3 linked regions of the Arabidopsis thaliana genome follow. The protein of the gene in region 1 interacts with the protein of each later gene in a pairwise test. Each region holds a gene or a part of one and is shown in the gene's direction. Other genes may lie near its edges.

Region 1 (5,233 bases):
GAACGAGAAGGAATTCTTGTGGCTGAGAAATTTTGTTGTATTATCAGTGAACGTGAATAAAATGAATAAGAAACAAATAAAAAGAAAACTAGTGGCTAGAACCCTCCTTCTCGTCATTCCACATGTCAAGTTTCTGTAGAACAGACGGCTAAAATAAGAATCAGTGACATGGAGAAAAGTGCACTGACATTCACTAATTATTAGTATTAGTACTATATTATAAATTAAAGTGTAATTACTTTCACTTCCACCGAGGATGACTTTTACAATTTGAGGAGTATATTAAATTATGTGCTTAACAATGATTTCAATAAAATATCTACACATTTGTGAAAATTGATGACGACCTGGACGATGGATAATCATATTAATTCGAGAAAGTTGAAACTAATTATAAATATCATAGATAGATTCGTATCTGTATATATTATATTATATGGTATGTATACGTAGACTTACGTTATGGATAGACCCCCACCATGTTTTTATATAGAGGCAGAAGATATTTAACTTATGGTTTTCGTTTTTTCGTAAAATATGAAACAAAGACAACGACAAAACGAAAAAGAACCAAAAATAGTATCTCATTCTACTTTCACTTGATTTTGGAATTTCATTTATTTAGATTGTGATTCAAAACCATTTCAACTATGTAAAATTCTGTGCAATATTTTTCCCAACTAAACATATAAGTTTGACATGAAAAAGAATATAGGAAAATTTAGAGGTCCAAATTTTATATGTATATCGGAATCATGGTAGGATACGTTATCAATTGCATTTGTATGAGGCTTGCTATTGCTAGTATAGAAGCATCATCAACAAATCTTAATATCAGTCCAAATTTGAATAACCCATTTTGTGGATCTCATTTCATAAAATAAACCATTTTAGTGTCCTGCAAAAATGTGTTTAGACAGAAATCTTTTTTAAAATCTGAATTTAGATATTATGATGGTTATAATTTATATATAAATTTACTATCAAATATTGTGTTCATATATGGAAGAATGGAGAAAAAAGAGTAGAACCCCACAAAATAAAAAATGGATAGACTATGTTTTCTAAGATTGGACAAAGTGTATAATAAAATCTTCTGATCTGGTCCAAAAATAAAATGTTAAGAGTTTTCGAATTCGAATAATTTGATTTTGATTAAGATATCCACTTCGGATATGTTTTCATATGTAGCTTTTTAAAATACCCTAATAAATATTTTCATAAAGAGTTTATGTAAATAAATCAAAATATATTTTTAACTTTTTATTTATTATAGTTTTATATATTACTGTTTTAATTATTTTGAAGTATTTTTGATAGATATGGATTTGGATGGTTCCGCAAACAAATCCTATGGATCCGGATCCAAAGAACCAATCATAAATTTTGGAATATGTCCACCCATATATGGATCAATAGAGATATAGTTAAGAAAAGAAAATGAATTTATCCCGCAAATTTACATTTTTATCTCATGTAGTGGAACCAATGAAAAGCGAGTAAGCTAAGAAGTCATACTCTCGAGAGTACGCCTTTCCATATTTTCCTTTAAAAGTATCTTCTGGTGGCTCACATTTCTCCGTCCAGCAAAATCTTTTTTGTTACATAAATATTATATTTCCTGATATTTTATATTAAAAGATTATCCAATTGAAATGATGTCAAAAAAGGAAAGGAAAAGTAGGGGAATTAAATAAATACATACAGTGATAATCGAAGTACCAAATCTAACTGTTTTAAAACAAGTAGATTCATTTTAAAAAATTAAATATTTGATTTTTCAAAGAGATAAATGAATAAATCTAGTACAAATTTTGTTGCAAAAAAAGAAGATGAAGAATATGAGAAAGAGCGACACGTGGCAAAGATGGACATTGAACGTGAGCCACAAGATTTTCCATCTGTTTCTCGAGCGTTCCATGGAAAACCAATAAGAATTATTATTTTTATTTTTTAAAAATTGGGAAAAAGCGCACATAGCAGAAGCTGACGTGGCATCACCCTCCTTTTTGTCTTCCCTATTTTCTCACCCCCCTAATTCCCTTCTTCCTCCTTCACAGACCCCAAACTCTTCTCTTCTTCTTCTTTCTCTCTGTTTTCTTCTTCTTCCGCCGAATCAGAAAGCTTGTCTTTTTCTTTACTCCGGCTACCAAAACTTCTCGGAGTTTCTCTGAGAGTTTCATTTCCGACCTTCTTCTTATCCTTATTTGCGGCAAGATTTCCAGCGAGAGTTTTTTTCTCTTTTCCTTTATCGAACATAAGAAATCTCTGGTTTGCTGGAAGTTTTTTTTCCGGAAGGTGGAAGCTTAGATTGGTTCTGATTTCAGAAGCAAATCGTTTGTTGTTGCCTAAGTAAACCGAATCAATTTATGGGATCTATAGAAACAGACGGAGAACAGAGGAAATTAAGCTGATTTTTTCAAGTCTAGATTCGCGAATTTATCTTGGTGTTTCCTTTTCTGTGTTCCACACCTTTCGAGTTTTTTTTTGTTTTCCTCCGCCGAGATCTTAATCCGGGAAGTTATGGCGTCGTCTCCGTTGACTGCAAATGTTCAGGTCTGGTCTCAAAATTTGATTTTTATCCACTTTTTTTGTTTTGTTTCTGCTTTATTCAGGTCTGGTCTCAAATGAATCTATGAGTTTAAAATACTGTATACGGACATTTAAGTAATAAAGCTTAGAGTTAAAGCAAGTTCGTTGCAATTCATTTGCAGACTCTTGTTTCTTTTGAGCTATAAGTTCTCTCTAGATTTGTGTGTTGCAACTACATTCATTTGAATCCTTGAGATGGAATCGACTGTGTTGGAATTTTGTGATTAGGATATGTAAATCGAGTTTAATTAGTTGGACTTTGTGAATGAATGTTCATTGAGAAACTGAAGAAGAAAGTAAATAATCCAATGCCACTTTGTGTCATAGTCCTTAAAATGATGTTTCCTAAAGTCGTTTTGCTTGATGATGGCTTTAGGGTACCAACGCTTCTTTGAGGAATAGAGATGAAGAAACTGCAGACAAGCAGATACAATTCAATGACCAAAGTTTTGGGGGAAATGACTATGCACCCAAGGTTTGTTTCTTTTAACATCAAATGTCAAATATTGTTATGTAAAGTGAAGATCTGTGGCTCAGTTCATCTTTTCTTACTTAGGTACGGAAGCCATACACGATAACAAAAGAGAGAGAGAGATGGACAGATGAAGAGCACAAGAAGTTTGTTGAAGCCTTGAAATTATACGGGCGAGCTTGGAGACGAATAGAAGGTAAATTAATGATTTAGTAATATCTCTTGCTACTGAGTTATGGCCTTACCTGGACCCTCAAAAATATATGTTTGTTTCACTAACAGAACATGTGGGCTCAAAGACCGCAGTTCAGATTCGAAGCCATGCTCAGAAGTTTTTCTCTAAGGTTTATACACTTATTTGCTATTATATCTTTACCCTTGTTCAAAGAAAGTATCAGTCTAATCTCTGTAGCAAACCTAAGTTCTGCATAAATAAGGAATCATTATACATACATTGTTTGGAGACTTGTGTTCTGACTTGGCTTTGTTCTGTTGTATTCACACAGGTTGCTCGAGAAGCAACTGGAGGTGATGGGAGCTCAGTAGAGCCGATTGTAATACCTCCTCCTCGTCCCAAGAGAAAGCCAGCGCATCCGTACCCTCGTAAGTTTGGGAACGAGGCAGATCAAACAAGTAGATCGGTTTCTCCCTCAGAACGTGATACTCAATCTCCAACCTCTGTGTTGTCCACTGTTGGATCAGAAGCATTGTGTTCCCTTGATTCGAGTTCACCCAATCGAAGCTTGTCCCCAGTTTCTTCTGCATCACCACCAGCTGCTCTTACAACCACTGCAAATGCACCTGAAGAGCTTGAGACTCTGGTACTTGACATAAACAAAACCGAATTTATACTTAACAGCAATACCTGCTGTTAGATGCTTAATGCTTAATATTCTTGGTTTAATCAATTTGTACAGAAGCTGGAGTTGTTTCCTAGTGAGAGACTCTTAAACAGGGAGAGCTCGATCAAGGAACCAACGAAGCAAAGTCTTAAACTCTTTGGGAAGACAGTTTTGGTATCTGATTCAGGCATGTCCTCTTCTCTAACAACTTCAACATATTGTAAATCCCCAATTCAGCCATTACCACGGAAACTCTCATCATCCAAGACACTACCCATAATAAGAAACTCACAAGAAGAACTCTTGAGCTGCTGGATACAAGTCCCTCTTAAGCAAGAAGATGTGGAAAATAGATGTTTGGATTCAGGAAAGGCTGTCCAAAACGAAGGATCATCGACTGGATCAAACACTGGTTCGGTGGATGATACGGGACACACGGAAAAGACCACAGAACCCGAAACAATGCTATGTCAATGGGAGTTTAAACCAAGTGAGAGGTCTGCATTTTCTGAGCTCAGAAGAACAAACTCCGAGTCAAATTCAAGAGGATTTGGTCCATACAAGAAGAGAAAGATGGTAACAGAAGAAGAAGAGCATGAGATTCATCTCCACTTATAACACATTTTCTTACGTACCCTAAAGAAGAGACTTTAAATTTACTATTCATTCGACTTTCTAAGTTTTCATCAATGTAATTTTTGTTGTTGTTTCATTGTTTTCTCTTGAGGTGTTTGTTCTCTAGGCTAAAATTTTCTGCAAAAGTTTGTAACTGTAAAACTCGTGTACAATTTATACAGTTAAATCTAATGATTATGAGATCTTTCTTAATTGATGGTTCAACAAAAGCAAGTTTCAGGTGTCTCTCTTCAATATCTCCGATTAAATTAGGTTTGGTAAAGAGTTTGCTTTGAAATGAAGGCAAAGAAGAAAAACAGTGAGGTTACCACCAACTGAACAAGTGTGTGTTCAAAGTTCAAACCCAACAAATAACCGAACCGATTCGGAAACCAACTCTAACCTGAAATTTTGATAGAATTTGACCAGACCAAATTAGACCGGTTAACACCCTTTCACGTTAGCCACCAACAGATTAAGCAGTGTCTAACGTACGCCTTATTAATACCACATAAAGACGCAAGAGAAGATGACGTCATACAGAAACAGCGTCGTTTTGAAAGCTGAGTTTTTTTTGTGAAGCGAGCGAGCGTGAGAAGGTGTGACGGGGAAGAGAATGGCGAAGGAAGCGGTCAAGTATGTATGGGAAGGAGCAATTCCTCTGCAGATTCATCTCCACAAATCCGACGTCGCTTCTCACCCTGCTCCTCCT
Region 2 (2,922 bases), on another chromosome or scaffold:
CTTGATAATGTTTCCAGGAGGAATCACAGTTTAGCAGCTTTGATGAACAATTCTTGAGGCATCTTACTGAAGCTGCACATAGACGTTGTTTGCTTCGCAGAAGGGATGGTCAAATATCCTCTAGTCTTGTTTCGTCCAGCGATCCCACTACGATTCATCCTACTGATTTGGTCAATCTTTATCGTCTCTCTGCTATTTCCCATGTTGAACATCAAAACTCAAACCCTTGTCCAAGTCCTGGCTCAATGACTCCATCTCCCGTCTCTGGTCATTCTTCCATTCCTGCAGATAGCAATAACGGATCCAGGTATTGACATACACATAATCAAGTCTGGTTTATTGATAACGAGCTTTCATGATTTATTCGCTTTCCATTTGCTTGTGCTGTCTCTATAACCAGCTTTCATGATTTGTATGGTTTCCATTTGCTTGAGCTGCACAATGCAGATGCTCTTATACTTCCTGTTTCGCTTAGTTACTGGGATTATCGTCTACTGATAAATAATTTAGATGGCTCTGGAATTCTAGACCATGTCTCTTTATTATGCAGCTACTTCTTGGAGAATTGGTCAAGCCTTTAAATTGTTTAGAACTTACCTAAACCATATGTAATATATCTTCATCTTTTCTTGTATCTGTCATCAGAATCTCTCCTGGCCCTTCTCCATCTCGTTCATCTCAAAGTCCAAAATCACCTGAAGCATCCTCGCTTCCGGAAGCCATTAAATCGAAACTAGCTGCTGCTTCTGCAAAGTATGGCTATCTCAATTCCTCTTCATTTGTTCAGAAATTGGTTATAAAAACTGACTGGGACATACATGCATGCCTCCAGGTACAAGGAATCGATCTCTAAAAGTAAACAAGGTCTTAAAGAGAAGCTACTTGCTCGCAATAACTCAGTGAAAGAATTGAGCAAAGGAGTGCAACGTGAGATGAATGCAGGAATAGCTGGTGTTGCACGAATGATCGAACGCATGGATTTTTCTTCAAAACGTTTTGGAGGGTCTGCTCATGTATCAACCTCCACTGCTACTGCTTCTGGATTCAATTTCTCATTCAAAGGGAAACGTGTAGAAGCCAATTCTAAGTCTAACAACAATGGAGACAAAACCGAACCCCAAAAGCTGCAGGTTTCAGACTTCTCCCGGTTTCTTGTCTTCTAACATTTGTATCTTTAAAACATAAAGCTTTTTATGGGTTTTGCTAATGAGAATCGTTGAATTCATCTCAGGGAGGAGAAACGTGCTGAGGCAATCAGAAAAATGGAGAGAGGCCTTTAATGCAAGCGATGTACGTTTCCATTGAATCAACTTACCCGTTGGTCTTCGCATCCTGCATTGTTCAGAGCTCACGGTCTCGTCTCTCGTCTCTCTGTTACCTTTGCGATGCGTACTTTTAGATGGCTAAAATAAGCAACTGAGTAATAATTTTATTACTCGATTTTGACGGAGCCAAAACTATAATATTTATTAATTTCAAAGGATAATGTTTTATGTTTTTTCACTAAGAATTGGATCAGTCCTAATCAATATTGCACTATGAATCTATTTATAGACAAGTCCATAAATAAAATAGGAATTTTGAAGATAAAAACCTAATTTATATATGACATAAAATACCTGAATACTGGCAGAGGAAGGCTTTCAACAGCTCTATAAAAACTCAAGTCATACAAAGTTTTGAGACATAAGATTAGATGGTGAAGAGCAAAAACAAATAAGAAGGCCAAGCCAAAGTACACAAAACGTTGCAAACATAACACGATTGTACCAAAACAAGAAGACAATGACGGGAGAACCTTCTTTATGCATTAGGGGGTGTGGCTTCTTCAGCACGTCACAGACGAAGAACCTCTGTTCTAAGTGCTACAACGATTTCTTAAAGGACGAGTCTGCCAGATACTTGGCCACTTTCAACGTCAACACGAAAGCCGCTGAAGAGGTCACGGCGCAAGAGGCGACGGTACTCGGTAGTAAAGGCGGTTGTGGTGAAGAAGAAGGATAAGATTATAAGAAGAGTAGTAGTAGATGCAAAGCGTGCAAGAAGAAGGTGGGGTTGCTAGGGTTTCACTGTAGATGTGGCCACTTATTCTTCGCGTCTCACCGTTACCCGGAAGAGCATTCATGTCCATCGGATTATAAATCTGCCGCCATTGACGTCTTAGCAAAACAAAACCCTGTCGTCAAGGGTGATAAGCTCTTCAGACTTTAGTCAACCCTTCGATGCTTGTGTTTTTTTCTTAACTTTTTTTTCTCTGCCATTGGTATTAAATAAAATAATTTAGTTCTTATAACTTAATTACATTGTGTTCGATTAGTGAGAACGACAAATTGTTAGTTTGAAACTAGAATATTTATTTTTCTAGTGATTACTCGTTCGAAATATTCGTTAAAACTTGACGTTGAGCGAACATATCTATAAAACAAACAAGATTTAGTCGATTGTTGCTGATTGTCCATGGGAAATTTGTTTGAGTAATGGAAGCATTAAGGCCAAAGAGTTGTTCATCCACGCCCTCCACTTTCCACTAATCTTCCGGGTTGTGTCCAGAGAAACTTCAGGGTTCTCAGCTTCTGGATTCTTACACATAATGAAGTTCATGGACCTTGTTGACCCGATCCTAGTGCATGGATTCAGTGCTGAAATTTAGATAAAGCAATGACGTTAATGTAGAAGTAGAATTATGATTAAGTAGACCTAGGCACCTTTTTTTTAGATGAAATATTTTTGCAAACGTTTATCTCTTTTTATAACAAAAAATTGTAATCATCATTTGTTCTAAATGCAAATGACAGACTCAAAGAAAAAACCACACGATTGTGTCTCACGTTGATTTGGAGAGTATGGAGAGTAAAGTAGGAAAGAAGAGGTGAAATGAGAAGAGAAAATAGGAAGTCTTCCTTGGCGAGCATAGCATCTCAG
Region 3 (3,243 bases), on another chromosome or scaffold:
TTTACTGGTTAGAAGACCTTGGGAATTTTTCAGTTATAGAGGTAAGAGTTTTAAGGCTACCAAATTCAGATACAAAACACCTTATATTCCTTGACATTATAAGTCTTTAAACAAATAAGTGCTACTAATCTATCTTTCATTGTTTGTTTTGTTTTTGTTTGGACAAGTATCCTGTTGCTCCGTGGACTATGGAAGCTGTCCTAGAGTATATAAAGCAGAGCTATGACAATCCTCCTGTCTACATTCTTGAGAATGGTCAATCTCTTCTATGATTAATTTATTCGTCTCTCCCTCATGTTTTTGATTTGGACTTAAAATGTCATATACAAACAGGTACACCGATGACGCAACACAAGGATACACATAGGGTGGAATACATGAATGCTTACATTGGTGGTGTGCTCAAATCCATAAGGTAAGTAAAGTTTTTTTATTGCATCTTTTCTTCTCTTATCTTGTTCGTGTAATTAAGGAAAAGGACATTGCTACGTGTAGGAATGGATCAGACACTAGAGGCTATTTTGTATGGTCATTTATGGATTTATTCGAGCTTATAGGGCGGTACGATTATGGTTATGGATTGTACTCTGTAAATTTCAGTGATCCACATCGCAAGAGATCTCCTAGACTCTCTGCTCATTGGTACTCTGATTTTCTCAAGGGCAAAACTTCTTTTCTTGATTCCAAAGGCATCAAGGAATTGCAGAGCAACTTCTCTTCTTCCTCTTAGTACTGTGATGAAATAACTCTTATGTTCTACTGAATTTAGACTACTTGTCATGAGAGCCACTTCTTTTTTTCTATAAATTCTAAATTAAACTAGTTTAGTAACTTTACACGACAAAATAATGAGAAATCACAGATGCTGAATACAAGAATTGCCCGTTTTTAAATGCTAAAAAGAAATTCGTACCCAGGCCTAAGCATGACATCAAGTTCAAGCTAGCATTGTATCAAAAAACCATATTACAGAACCATACAAACACTTGAATAGTTAGTAACTCTTAGCAAAGTTGTTTTTTACACAAAAGCATGCTAATCCGCATCAAAAAAGAGACACAAAAGAGCAGCTTCAAATTCATATACCATCCATTGTTAAGGCTGCATTTCCACATTAAAAAGAACAAAAGCGCAGCTTCCTACCTACATGTGAAAATCATAACAAAGACTGATCAGAAACTTAAGTATGTAAGTACTAAGCTAACAATCTAAACTCTAAAGCAAAATAGTTATACAAAAAAAAAAAACTCATTAATTTACCTGTTTGTCCCCCGTTTGGTTATGTTGATAAAGTTGGGATATTTTTTTCTTCAAAAAAAAAAGATTTCTACATCAAAATTTAAGAAACGACATTATTCTTACTGATCTTTAAGATCCGATAAAAGGAAAAAAAAAAACTTTATTCTTAACAAAAAAATGAGAAACAAGGATCAATTTTTCAAATATCATATAATTATCTTTTTTCTTTCTTATTCTCAATTAATAAATGTAATGTTGAATTTTGAGAATAATTTATAGTTAAAGATAAGTATATAACTTAGTAAAATATATCCTTCTACATAATCAGTTTGTTAAAAAAAAATCTACAAATTAGAAACTCCATCTAAATACGAGCTTCACAGATTGTTTCACAGAGAAAACAAAACTTTGGCTTCCTTCTCTCCTTGGTTCGTGTAAGTTGAATGTTTTTTTTTATTTTAAATTCGTGTTTCTTCTCTTCCGTTTTGCGAAGTTGATAATTTTGTTATAATCTTATATGAATATTTTTCAGGAAACATGGCTCAAGTTTGTCACACATGTAGACATGTAACAGCCGTGATCCATTGTGTTACAGAAGCTCTTAACTTCTGCCTTACATGTGACAACCTTCGCCATCATAATAACATACATGCAGAACACGTACGTTACCAACTTTGCGATAACTGCTCGATGTATCCGTCTATACTTTTCTGTTATGAGGACGGGATGGTTCTTTGTCAATCATGTTATTCGCACCATTACAATTGTGCCACTAATGGCCATCAAACTCAAGTCGTCTTCGCTAACATGAATAATCAACACCATGATCATGCACATATGCCTCATGTGGTTCACCATAACAATAACAATAATCATCAGCAGCAGCATGTGGGTGGTCACCAAAGAAGAGCAGAGATGTTTGAGAGGAGCTGCCACGGGGATAACAATTGCGAGAGATGGATGTTTGCAATGAGATGTGAGTTATGCGTAGCTTCGAATTCAAATGCTGTTGTTTATTGTCCTACACACAACCAGATTCTATGCGATAGTTGCGACCGGATGATTCACAGTCACGAGGACGCGGTGCCGCCGCATTCGAGGTGTAAGCTTTGCGTAATCTGCAAGAGACCTTCTCGCCGTTTTCTCATTGGCGGCTATCAGTTTAATTTCCCACCGGTTCATCCTCCTGCGGCAGAGGGGATTCCAGTTACGCCCCCAACAGAACTACCTCAACAAGATATTAATTATGATTATCTAGATGATGTTGATGATTTTTCTTGGTTTGGTAGGTGAATAGAAAATCGTCTTCTTTAGCTTTTTATTTATGTGTGTTTCTTAGAGTTTTCGTTAGGGGTTTAATTCTTGGTGTTATAATTGCTTCTGGATTTGAAAAAGAAAAGAAGAAGAAAAAAAAAACAATCAGTTGGATTTAATATGTTAGAAGAAAATAAAATGTCAAAACTAACTCCAATTTGTTCGAGGATGGAAGATATCATATCTTGATGTATGTATATCTCATCATTTAACTAGAAACTATCTAGAAACCACAATTACCGAAAAAACATAAAACAATTTTGCTAAAATGTTAAGAACACAAATTAATTTGATTAACAATCGATGCTTAAGGGGTTTATAGGAATTAAATAATATTTTTTTTTCAACAATAAAATTAAATTTCACTTTGCGATTTTAATTTTATTTAAGAAAGTCAAGAACCAACTCCAATATTTCCGGGGATGTGATTTTCTCAATAAAATCGTCTAATTATCTTGATTTTTGATGTTGTTGTTGTACTTTACGTGAATATCTCACAATTAGTAAGCAGAGTAGAAGATTTTGATTAGTATGACGACAAAAAATAGTACAAATAAAATTTACATGACCTTTTTTGTGTTAAAAAAAGTTACATGATGTTCTGCAAGAAAATATGCTTGTATAATAAATAATTTTTATTAATATTTTATTTCTGACTATTTTCTTCAATAAGAGAAAACATAGTCATTT

The links. Proteins that work in one complex are often made in the same cells at the same time.
Region 2: the proteins of RVE1 (region 1) and AT4G14225 interact in a two-hybrid assay, tested with the Arabidopsis thaliana proteins (one large-scale study listed by BioGRID).
Region 3: the proteins of RVE1 (region 1) and BBX26 interact in a two-hybrid assay, tested with the Arabidopsis thaliana proteins (one large-scale study listed by BioGRID).

Annotation. Positions count from the first base shown.
Region 1 is NC_003076.8:5,689,726-5,694,958, reverse strand, and holds RVE1 (Homeodomain-like superfamily protein), read left to right. Parts: upstream 1-1,966; 5' UTR 1,967-2,034; coding exon of another isoform or gene 2,035-2,259; 5' UTR 2,260-2,523; coding exon 2,524-2,556; intron 2,557-2,968; coding exon 2,969-3,067; intron 3,068-3,148; coding exon 3,149-3,260; exon of another isoform or gene 3,261-3,327; coding exon of another isoform or gene 3,328-3,346; coding exon 3,347-3,408; intron 3,409-3,570; coding exon 3,571-3,885; intron 3,886-3,981; coding exon 3,982-4,524; 3' UTR 4,525-4,733; downstream 4,734-5,233. Other genes in the region: AT5G17305 (uncharacterized protein), read right to left, coding at 2,035-2,259; autophagy protein Apg5 family, read left to right, coding at 5,138-5,233. UniProt on the Arabidopsis thaliana protein: Morning-phased transcription factor integrating the circadian clock and auxin pathways. Binds to the evening element (EE) of promoters. Does not act within the central clock, but regulates free auxin levels in a time-of-day specific manner.
Region 2 is NC_003075.7:8,196,992-8,199,913, forward strand, and holds AT4G14225 (A20/AN1-like zinc finger family protein), read left to right. Parts: upstream 1-1,785; coding exon 1,786-1,987; intron 1,988-2,035; coding exon 2,036-2,211; downstream 2,212-2,922. Other genes in the region: RHF1A (RING-H2 group F1A), read left to right, coding at 18-307, 646-753, 833-1,130, 1,232-1,249; AT4G14226 (uncharacterized protein), read right to left, coding at 2,434-2,601. UniProt on the Arabidopsis thaliana protein: May be involved in environmental stress response.
Region 3 is NC_003070.9:22,216,366-22,219,608, reverse strand, and holds BBX26 (B-box zinc finger family protein), read left to right. Parts: upstream 1-1,776; coding exon 1,777-2,532; downstream 2,533-3,243.